Linked DNA regions of Macaca fascicularis. The protein of the gene in region 2 binds, or shares a complex with, the protein of the main gene of each other region. Links are inferred from orthologs where the notes say so. Each region holds a gene or a part of one and is shown on either strand. Other genes may lie near its edges.

The links. The genes of interacting proteins can lie anywhere in the genome.
Region 1: the proteins of NRIP1 (region 2) and ESRRG are in contact, whole or in part, in a crystal structure (PDB 2GPP), measured with the Homo sapiens proteins. The link is inferred for Macaca fascicularis from reciprocal best matches to the Homo sapiens genes NRIP1 and ESRRG. Residues at the interface, in NP_001426204.1 of Homo sapiens: Ser378, Leu379, Leu380, Leu381, Leu383, Leu384, Lys385, Ser386, Gln387; in NP_001429.2 of Homo sapiens: Val277, Ile280, Lys284, Phe289, Leu294, Gln297, Met298, Leu301, Gln302, Lys448, Leu449, Glu452, Met453.
Region 3: the proteins of NRIP1 (region 2) and RORA are in contact, whole or in part, in a crystal structure (PDB 4S15), measured with the Homo sapiens proteins. The link is inferred for Macaca fascicularis from reciprocal best matches to the Homo sapiens genes NRIP1 and RORA. Residues at the interface, in NP_001426204.1 of Homo sapiens: Thr499, Leu500, Leu501, Gln502, Leu504, Leu505, His507; in NP_599023.1 of Homo sapiens: Gln332, Val335, Lys339, Phe344, Met345, Gln349, Gln352, Ile353, Leu356, Pro505, Leu506, Glu509, Leu510.

The regions. Positions count from the first base shown.
Region 1 is NC_088375.1:74,369,341-74,372,908, reverse strand, and holds part of ESRRG (estrogen-related receptor gamma), read left to right. Parts: intron 1-2,832; coding exon 2,833-3,015; intron 3,016-3,568. UniProt on the Homo sapiens protein: Orphan receptor that acts as a transcription activator in the absence of bound ligand. Binds specifically to an estrogen response element and activates reporter genes controlled by estrogen response elements.
Region 2 is NC_088377.1:32,171,257-32,175,513, forward strand, and holds the start of NRIP1 (nuclear receptor-interacting protein 1), read left to right. Parts: upstream 1-1,453; 5' UTR 1,454-1,634; intron 1,635-2,142; exon of another isoform or gene 2,143-2,210; intron 2,211-4,257. UniProt on the Homo sapiens protein: Modulates transcriptional activation by steroid receptors such as NR3C1, NR3C2 and ESR1. Also modulates transcriptional repression by nuclear hormone receptors.
Region 3 is NC_088381.1:37,013,126-37,016,693, forward strand, and holds part of RORA (nuclear receptor ROR-alpha), read right to left. Parts: intron 2,946-3,568; coding exon 2,833-2,945; intron 480-2,832; coding exon 315-479; 3' UTR 1-314. UniProt on the Homo sapiens protein: Nuclear receptor that binds DNA as a monomer to ROR response elements (RORE) containing a single core motif half-site 5'-AGGTCA-3' preceded by a short A-T-rich sequence.

The DNA.
Region 1 (3,568 bases), on a different chromosome or scaffold from region 2:
CAACAGAACTAGCGTTTTCAGATGTTTATGAATAGGGATCCTACTGGGCACGGAGGAGTGCTTTGGTGGAAACAGTTTTCAAATTTAGCTGTATTTGTCTAAGAAGACACAACCAGCACTTACCAGAAGAAAATGCATCTGTAGCAGTTCTAGGAAAGACATGGGTAATTTTTGATCTGCCTTCAAGGGAAGCAAAGGTGTCCACTTCTAATTCAGATTCTCCAGGAGGGGTCACTGCTGTGCATCATACATGCGTGAGCATATGGGAATATGTTAAATAAATAAAACAGACCCTGAACTGTAAATGAAAGGACATTTTAGCTATGTCAAAGGAAAAACAACCAGTTTTACATAAAATTAAAGCTTAAGTGAACATATGGCATAGTTTCCTTTTGCCTTTCCAAAAAACATTATGTTGATTATACCTTCAATTGTCCAATCTGGCATCTTCTCCTCAGCCTGCATAAGCTGTTTGGCATTCTGCAAATACAATCGAGGACTACATTAAGCAGATTTTGCACATTATAATAAAAAACTCTGATAATACAATAAAATGCAATAAACACTAATGCTTAATTTCATTAGAGGTTTAGTTTTCCTGAATTCACTAATATACAGACTGCCTGCTTCTCATTTATTTTATACAAACATTGACTGAAACCATTGATAATTGCCTCTACTGAAAGAAAAATGAGCACCAGCCCATGTGTAAGTTGAAGTGATAGAGAAACATCTATGGTTTTCTTCGTAAACCTGAGAAATTGGGAAGTGGCTTGTCAAGTACCTTTAAGAAGATTACAGCAATTTCAGTGAGCTCCATTTGTCTGAGATAAAGAGGACTCCTAATAAATCATTACTCATTATCTAAAGGCCTCTGTGTTAATTTTCCTTAGTCCATCCAATTAGTGTGTTTTTGTAACAAACATTTATAAAACTTAATTTTCAGATCCTGTCAGATAAGTGTCAAGAGACTGTGCCTGAGCTTTGCTGAGAAAGTGGCTGGGGAGATTTCTGGACCCTGACTGATTGTGTACTACAAAGGCCCGAGAATGAAAATTGGGTTCTATTGATTCTAATTAGGGAAACATTAAATAAGATTTACCTAGAAACAGTGCTGCTGGCTATTCCATTTTCTGAATGATGGGAATTTCTAAGCTTCAACCAAATTTCTCTGACCTCTCATGTCAAGTATCCATTGACTTGGATAAAGCGAGTGCTATGTTCCCTGTACTAAGAAAAACTAGAGTCATGATTACCTTTGGATATATTTTTATGCTCTTTACTATTGTATTTTCTTCTAATCCTGAGAATTTAGTGGTTGCTGACAGGTTTTGTTGCATTGTCAGAGCAATGAAAGTTGAAACTTTTCCAAGCATAACTAAAAATACAGGGTGTTGTTTCTGTAGCATATACAAACAAAAATCCAAATTAAGAATTAAAAAAAATTAATCTCTATTTAATTTTTTAATTCTTTTCTAGTCTACATAGTATTTGGGAATATTTCCTCCCAAATCTGCCTACTCAATTTGATGATGATTGAATATTATCTGTTGTCTATTTGAAATAAGCTTAATTAATATGTGAGCCATATTCATAAATGTTTAAATATTTTGTTGGAAAAAGTGCTAATTATAGCTTGGACAAACCTCAATCTTTCACGAAAGGAGATAAAAAGAATGCTATATTTAATTCTAAGTTACGTGAAGTCTTTTTATATTGGGTTAAAAAAGTTAAAAACTTAGAGGCAAATAGTCTGGTAAACACATTGGGAACTTTGGCTGTGTTCACAAGAACCTCATTTAAAGTCTTGGTTTTCTACAGTAATAGTACATAGAACATTTAAATATGTGGGTTTATTCTTACCCGTTTGTTTCTCCTCACTTAGGAGAAAGTATAAAATCTTAAGCTACATATAGAAATTGAAAACAGGGCCAACAAGAAAAATCATTCTGTTACCACGACTTTACAGCCCCTTCCATAAACTCTCACATGCCCCTGAGCAATAAAACACATTTGATGTGATGCTTTCCATTTGTCTCTAGTGTTTATTTTTTGAAGGATTTTTAAAACATATATCACAAATTTAAGACAGATAAATCTGAACCAGAGAATGGACTAAGGACAACTGATGAAAATAGAGGATTAAAGAATTTGACATACAGAAGAGAAAATGACTGTAACATTTAAGGAGGAGTATTTTTATGGAAACATATTAGCTGTATTTGGAAGATTGGCTGGGTGTGTGGGGAGGGGGAGAAAAAAAGAAATTCCTATTTAATGCATCCCACGGAGATAGAGTTATATAGTCAGTAATTCACCAAGGCAGAAGGGCTCTGACCTTTACTCTTCTTTAAAGGAATTAAGACAATTAATGACTTTCATGCCCATTATGACTGTGGGCATTAGTAGTTCTTTGCCTCCTGTGTTATGATCTATATTTCAATGGTTTACTGGGGGTTTTATTTTAAGCTGTTGTATACCATTTAATCTATTTCACCAAATCCCACTTAAGAACCAAAGCACAAACCCAGAAAGCATCTAACTTGTCTTATCTGTTTGCTATAAAAATTTTCACTACAGGACAGACGTTTCATTCCAGCAAAAGCAGGTAGAGCAAAGAAGAAAAAAAAAAAAAAAAAGAAAGACTACATTCTATCATGACTGCGGTGGCATATGTCTTGCTATGAGTTTTCCTGCACACTGTTTAATATATACCTATTGAGCCATAATTGGAATATTTAGAGTTTATTGTAGGGTATTTGGGTTGTTTTTCAAAACACAAAATACTCTAAGGTTTATAAAAGAGGGATGATACTACTAGTGATCTTGTAGTGCTCTGGTCTGATCCTGCAGATAACAAGATTGTCTCACATTTGTTGGTGGCTGAACCGGAGAAGATCTATGCCATGCCTGACCCTACTGTCCCCGACAGTGACATCAAAGCCCTCACTACACTGTGTGACTTGGCCGACCGAGAGTTGGTGGTTATCATTGGATGGGCGAAGCATATTCCAGGTACATTTTCTGAAACAAAAAAAAAAAAAAAAAGAAAAGAAAAGGTTGCATATATATTTGGGCAAATTCAAAGTTTTCTCATTTGGACTTAAAAAAACCTTTACGTTTATTTTTAATCATAATTTAGAGCTTTGCATATCCTAGTAGAATCCCTTCGATTTTATATTTTTTATATTGGCACCACCTTGAGTTCTTGTTAGTTTTTCATATGTACAGGTACTACTGCCAGTGTAAGCTAATGAGAATATAAATTTAAAATATTTCTTTATGCTTTGTCAAAATTCCTACCTTTTTCCTAGCAAATACTTCTGCTTTTTCTTTTCACTTTAAAAAATGTTTTTGTCAGCGATAGCCTAATGTACTATTTTCCCAACTAAGAATCACTAGTTTTGTTCATAGTGGCTAGTTATATTCTATTGCTAGCCATATTCACAAGCTTTGCTTTGGTTTACAATCAGATATTTATCTTAACTTTACAGACAAATTGTGAAAATAAATATTAATTGGACATGGTAACTTTTCCTATATGGTAATTTAAAGTTAGCATTTAAAA
Region 2 (4,257 bases):
GTGACAAGTGAGGCTATCTGGATTCCCAGTCCGCACTAGACTGGAAGTTACCAATCAGAAGATGAGGAGAATGTTAGTGACAGCTGTGCTAGTAACAGTAAGCAAAACAGATTGTCAGTTAGTGAAGGGGGAGAGAGAGAAATTACAAAAGGCAGAGATAATCATTAAGTCATGGCATCCTACAGTCCTTTGGTGTAGCGACTGATAGCGTTTGGACCTCCTGGGAGAATCCCTAACACCTAGGAAGAATATAGAATAGGAACTGGATATATTTCCTGAATCCACTACAACCTACTACAACAATTACTTTTAATAAAATTGACACTGAATTGTCAAGAAAATGCTAAATGATGTTCAATAAACCGCTTAAGAGAAACATTTGCAATACATTGTAGAAAAATCTTTGTATTATGGTTAAAAATAATTTTCGTAAAAAAAGTTTGACCCCCACTAAGGGGCCAAGCTCCAATTACGCTGGTCATCATTGAAACGGTTTGCTTTGTATCAATTCTGAATAAATGATGCACTAAAAAACAGCAGCCTTTACTAATTTGCCTACAGCAGATTTTGAATTGTGGTATATGCAAATAATATGGTATTATATGAGGTTTAACTTTTTAAAATGGCAACAGATTGCATAGTTCAATCAGTAGGGTGATGTAAAATAATTGTTTTTAAAAGTGCCATTGTCACTAAGGAAAACATCGGTACCATGTGCCCGGCACTGTGCTAGGTGCTGAATTTATTAAGCATTAATTTGAAAAATTGCTTTCACTTTCAAGACTGTGACAGTATTCTAAAACTCTCATTCATATTTTTAAAGGTTAAGTGAAATTTGCAGTACACAATACAGCCATTACATAACAGGCATAGAATACAGTTTCATGACTTGGATAGTTGTTGTTTTTTAAGCGCATTAGCAACTCCATTTTCAAATGCTATCAAATTCTTCAGGATATAAAAACCTACATGTAAGAATGGAGTGCCTCATCGGCTCATTTGTCTTATGTAATAAGTGTTTTAACACAGTCATGCCATTTCAGAATTTCGGGTGAGACTAAGCTATACTTTAGCTTTTTTGTGTCAAGCAAAAACAATTTCAGCAACAACATTGGTTTCCCCTGGTAATTTTTTTCATGGCGAATTACTAAATGCTGGATGCTCAAGTCAAAAAGAAACCTGACATCTGGGGAGGTGTTGAGGGGGTGTTAATAGTTCTAGGGAGATGTTTGGGGAGCGCTGAGGATACGATTTTTAAAACAGCAAATACACGGATAAGGGGAAATTATGGTTTCGTATGACTCTCTCCTCCCTCCACTTTCTCGTTTCAGCAGTCTGTAGCCCCCCCAATTTAGAGGCGGGTTCAGCGAGATTAGGCTGCAGGAAACCAAGAGGCTCCACCGCGCTGCCGCCCCGGCCTCGTGATGTAATTGTTATTTCTTATTCGGAGACTGAACCGAGGAGAGCTGCTGAAGAAGTAGCAGCTCTGCTCCTTTTGCCTTGTCTGGTTCCCGGGGATGATGTAGATTGGCTGACAGACTCCGCTGGAGACTTCGCAGTGACAAAGCAGCCGAGGATTAACCCTGCTCCTGGGTCCTACGTCTGTCCAGGGAGCTGAGCGGGGCGCTCCTCAGGTCTCCTTCCTAGTTTTCCTCCCGGAGTCGCTCCACATGAGGGCTGGGTGCCTACTACGTGCTGGGCGTGGGGTCAAAGTGACCCAGAGTTCGCGCCCGCGCCCCCCACGATTAAAGCAGGACACACAGATTACAAGGAGATAGAAATTGGGTGGGGGGTGAAAGGGGGCCCAGGGAGCGCGTGTTGTGGGGTGAAGGGGAGGAGGTAGACTTTTAAGGCGCCAGCACCCAGGCGGGGACCCTGGGGCGTCTGGGGTGCCCCGGTCCCCAGGCTCTGCCCAAACGGGAGCATTCGGCCTGGGTCCCGAGAGCGCTTCCCCGGGTTCCCAGGAGGAGCTGTCCAGGCGCCTGCAGCGGTCGCGGGCGGCTGGACAGAGCTGGGAGCCCGGAGGACGGCCAGGGCGCGCCGAGCAGCCCCTCTCTTGGGGACGCGGTCCTTTCGCTGCCTCCGGGCCCTGCAGCCCCGTCTGAGCCACCCGGAAAGCAGGCGAGGAGGAAATCCACGAACCATAGGGGGCTCCGCAGCTACCGCGAGCGGCCCGGACCCGCACGGCTTCCTCCTGACCGGCTGACAATGGGAGGGAGGGGGAGAAAAGGGTTAAGAAACTTGGCTGAAGAGCTGAATGGCGTGGGGCGGCGAGGGGAGGGACTGGGCCGCGGCGGACTCGGCGGCGGAGGGAGGAGCGCGGCTGCGGGCGGGCGGGCGGCGAGCGAGGCGCTCAAAGTCAGCCTCGCAGACATTGCAGCAGAGCCCCGAACTCGGGAGGCGGCGGCGGAGGAGGCGGCGGCGAGGCGCAGGGACGATCCGGCCCCACGCCCGCCCGCCACCCGCGCGCGCCCGTCCGCCCGTGGCCTCGCGTCCGCCGCTGCGCCGGGAGCGCCGCTGGTCGGAGGGAAGAGCTCGCCGGGGTGCCGGGCCAGGACGGGGCGGCAGGCGCCTTCGCGGACCGAGCCTGACGGAGCCGGAGGCTGGGAGCCGCGGCGGCCTGGGGTGAGTGACGGCCGCGGCCAGGGCGCCCAGAGTAGCGGCCGCCGGCGCCGCCGGAAACGGCCCCGGAGCGCGGCCCGCGTCGGCGCTGGCTTGGCGGGCAGGGCCGCGGGGGCGTCGGGGCGGCGGGGGCAGCGCGGCCGGCCGCGGGCGCGCACGGGGCGGCGTGGAGGGCGCGTTTCCGGGGAAATCCTGCCTCTGCTGCCTGGTTCGAGTCTCCCCGGGTTCTCGCGGGGGGCCGGGGCGGCGGGCCGGCAAGTTGTGGAGTGGCCCCGGGTCGGCCCGCCCGTCCGTGCCAGTTCTGGGCAAGGGGGCGGCCGTCGCGTGGCCCCTGCGCGGGGTCGGACACTGGAGCTCGGGGGCCGGGTCGGGGTTGCCCCTCGCTCGCCTGCCCTCTTGGTCGCGAACCTCGGGCACCGCTCGCTGCGCCGCTCTCGATCCTGCTGTCCAGCCGGATCCTGGGCGGCGCCTTTCGCCTGGGTGCCTGCCTGCTCCGTGCTTGCTGGATACCCGGCTGGGAAAGTGAATAGGAAAACGGACAGCTCGCCCGGCCCCCAACGGACCCCAGGCCCGCTCTGCCCGCACTCGCCGTCCCCCCCGGATGGCGTGGCTCACGGACCCGAGGCCTCAGCCATCATTTTACCAGGAGCCAGGGGCCGGCCCCCATTTAGGGTGAGCCCCGTGGAAGTCCGGGAGGCTGCCCTTTCTCCCTTCTGCTGTCCCCACCTTACTACTATTGCATATTGTTTTATGAAGGTTTTCGTGGACGTATTCTGCAGACCCTCACATCCCTTCCAAAGTAGTTTCCCAATTTTAATCAGGAGTTGGTGTTCAGTCTGAAGGAACAAAGGAACCAACTGTGTCTTAGAGGCGGACAGGCTGGGAGTCTGTGACACATGTTGATCTCTGAAGCATTCCAGGAGTTTCTACCTTTTATCACGTCAGTAATTGGCTGCTGAAGGTAGTAAAAGAAGTACGGAATGATAAGCACTTTTGCTTTTTAAAAATATTTTTTAATGGCACATTTTACTTTGGGGGAAAGAAGACGTTCTTAGGCACAAGGATTTTTAAAAACTCGGCCGGTGGAACTGAGGTGGAGTTTGTCTCTGGTATTGTAAATGATTACATGTGGGATTGTGAAGGAAATTGTGTCGTTAGAGGAAGAGAAGCCATCTGTAGGTGTCCGTAGTAAAAAATGGTTGTCGGATTATAGGTGATCAATGCTCTTTCTGTTTCTTGGGAAAATTTGTGAAGCAAGGGGCTTCGGTAATTCATTCTTTAAAGTTATGAATTGCATTGAATGCTTATTAGTGAATCATAGGTTTAGTAAGTGGGTGGCATTATTCAATGTTTAATCATCAGTTTTCCACCTTTGTGGAAGAGATAGTGAGATAATAGACTTTTTAAACAAATGGTGTTTCATCTGCTTAGCCCGTAAGTGTCGGTTGCCGCCTGGTGTATGTTGAAATGTTTTCACCTTCGAAGTAAGTGAATTGCTCTGCTTTTGCCCAGCAGTTTGGTAATGTCGATAGGGTTTATTTGGTTCAGGGGAGCGCTGGCTTCATCGCCTATAGTAACTTTTTTTCTGCCTGGGCATAGTTCCTAGAGACAAAGAAGGAGAATCAATTAGTGGAA
Region 3 (3,568 bases), on a different chromosome or scaffold from region 2:
GCTACAAGAAAAGGAAATCCTCCAACTTTAGTACCCTCCTTCTGTTGTAAACAGAGGTCAACGATCAAGAAGTCAAGACAGAAAAAGGGTCCATATCTGTAGGCATAATGGAAATCATATGCATGAGAAAAACAAGTTCAACTTTTATTTGTTTTCATTGTTTCCCCTCCTTTGCCTGACCCCGATCACCAAAAGATGTGCAGTGTGTGGCGCTCCAGGTCTGTGCAGGGCCATATAAAGTGTCTCGGTTAATTTTTTTGTTTGTTTTTCATGTTTGTACTTCAGACATTCTAGAAGTGCTTAGGTGATAACATTTACCCATCAATTTGCATTGCTGGCTCAAATTCTGAAGTGAACAACTCCTTGTATAATGGAGGAAAATGAAGTCGCACAATGTCTGGGTATATTGCTTTAAATGCCATTAGCTTTTCTGTATGTCGTCCACATAAGGCTCTTAATGTAGACACCTTGCATATTAACTGTAAGTGGAAGAAAGGACACACTGTCAGGCAAGAACAGGTATAAAAATCAGAGATCAGGGAATCTGAATGATCTTTATGACATTGTTTATAATGGTGAAACACCCTTAAAGCAACTTAAACATCTTGTAGCAGAGGATTGGTAAAAATAAATGATGGCTGGGCGCGGTGGCTCACGCCTGTAATTCTAGCATTTTTGGAGGCTGAGGCAGGTGGATTGCCTGAGCTCAGGAGTTCGAGACTAGCCTGGGCAACACGGCAAAACTCCGTCTCTACTGAAAAAAAAATTAGCCAGGCATGGCAGTGTGCGCCTGTAATCCCAGCTACTCAGGAGGCTGAGGCAGGAGAATTGCTAGAACCTGGGAGGTAGAAGTTTCAGTGAGCCAAGATCGCGCCACTGCACTCCAGCTTGGGTGACAGAGTGAGACTCTGTCTCTTAAATAAATAAATAAATAAATAAATAAATGATAATATAGTCATGTCATAGAATGCCAACTATACATTAAATATAATTTTCAAGATGAATAATTTAATAACTAGAAAAGATGTTCATAAGCAAAAGTTGGCACAGCTTGTCAGCGGCAGACTCGTACAGAACCCAAGGCTCTTGACTTCTCCTTCTACTCCAAGATGCCTTCTCTCTACTTCCTGGAACCCTGCCCTCTACCACTGTGCAAAAAGAAGATGTCTGGTGATAGAGAAGTGGGTGAGGGGCAGTGGTGGGTGGGTAGTGAGGGCACTGCAACCAGAGATGATGGCATACTCTACACATTTTATGCAGAACTGGCACTAGTCAACTCCGATAACTACAAGTTTCTTTTCGATAAGAAGTTTTGCCTGTAATAAAGCAATGCTGGGTCTGAGCAAAATAATCGAGTCAGAAGACCTGGATGGAGGGCCCAGCATTGACCATTTATCAGCTAAGGATAATGACACAATTTGCAAAATTACTTTCAGATTCCACAGCACCTCACAAAGGCAAAATGCTTATTATTTTAACCCAGAATAACCTTCTCTAGGAAATGTTTTCACCAGATCTTGTCTACATGTTAAGTGCTGTTTATAATCAGAGATCATAATGGTACCGTTGCATTTGGGCAAAAAGATGGAGAAGAGAGTGAAGCTCCTGACAGGGCTCTTCCCTTCCACTTCTCATTCCTGCCCCATGTCCTCATTTAACAGGTGCAAAATCAAAAGCAAAACAGCAATTAATCCCCAGTTACCCTTTTCTGACCTAACAGGTGCGAAATCAAAAGCAAAAACAGCAATTAACCCCCAGTTATCCCTTTCTGATCTAACATAACTATAAAGGAGAAAAAAAAAAGCAAACAAATAAACAAGAAAACAAAACCAAAAACCTCTCACATCATCTCACACAATAAAATACATAAAATAAGAAAGAACAGGGCTGATTTTTCTAAGACCAAATACGTACTACTAGCAGTGGCACTGATGGATATTAGCACATTTAAAAAAATGGCATTACAATCATATTTTTATTGTGAAAGATAATGATAGGTAAAAATGCAACCTTATGCTTTGAATACAGAGTAGTGATGGGAAATTGACAAAAATGCAAAAGTCATTTACTGTTGATGACTAATGAATTTAATGGACGTGGAACTAATATTAGTATATATGGTCATTCTGATTAAGTCTTTTAGTCCTTTATAACTTCTTTCTAAATTCAAAGATTATAGGCTGGGCACAGTGGTTCACTCCTATAATCTCAGCTCTATGGGAGGTGGAGGAGGGAAGACTGCTTGAGGCCAGGAGTTCGAGACCAGCCTGGGCAACATAGCGAGATACATAGCGAGATACCCATTTCTACAAAAAATAATAAATAAATTAACCAAGTGTGGTAGCACATACGCTTGTAGTCTCAACTACTCAGGAGACTGAGACAGAAGGATCTTTTGAGCCCAGAAGTTCAGGGTTGCATAGAGCTATGATTGTGCCACTTCACTCCTGCCTGGGAGACAGAGTGAGACCCTATCTCTAAAAAATAAATAAATTCAAAGATTACTTTTCTAATTTATGTCAGTGCAGAATATTAACTCTGCTTTATGCCCAACTTTGATGGAAGAGAATTTCTAGAATGTAACCTTTTTTCCTATATTGCCTTATTGTTGCAGGACACTTTGTAATCAATGATAATAAGTATAATTTAGACTGAATAATGAGTTTTGGCTCAACAGAATTTTACTGAAATGGAAATTTATTTCTTTTTGGTAGCCTGTTGCTTTCTGATACTTTTGGGAATTGGTCGTATGACTTACATGACCATACTGGCAGCATGATTTGTGCCAAGGGATAGTTCAGGCCATGCCAACCAGAAGCCTTCGGCACTCACCTTTGTTAGTATTCCATCTTCTCGGTGATTCTTCTGTAGGACGTGTTGAAGAGCTAGCTGAATTTTCTGTTGCAGTTTTTCAATTTTTACCTTTTCTTGCAGCCATGAGCGATCTAAACATAAAAAAATGATATTCTTTAGCATTCCTCCGACATGGTGTCAAGATCCCCCTTCTCTGGATGCTTTTGATACAGATAATTATATCACAATGAATATTTAGAGACTCAGAGGTCAGTTTCACTCCTCTTTCAAAATTTCTCCTAATGGAATGAAAAGTGATCTAAGGAAGTTACAAAACAGGGTGTTAAACCTTTCCATTTTACCAATACATAAAGGAAGGATCCTTCCCTTCCAAAGGATAAACAATTAAATATGAGGCCATACTCATAAGAATGCAAATGAAACTATCATGGCCCCTCGGGACGTTCTAATAATTATACTTCGGACTGAAATATTCATTATCAATCCTGCTAGCTTTTCTGAAAAATACGAAAGTTTTCTAGTAATCTTTGTCAACTAAAATTGTCAATAGAATTCCAAGTGACAGGCCGGGCACGGTGGCTCTCGCCTGTAATCCCAGCACTTTGGGAGGCCGAAACGGGCGGATCACAAGGTCAGGAGATCGAGACCGTCCTGGCTAACACTGTGAAACCCCATCTCTACTAAAAATACAAAAATTAGCCTGGCATGGTGGCGGGCGCCTGTAGTCCCAGCTACACGGGAGTCTGAAACATGA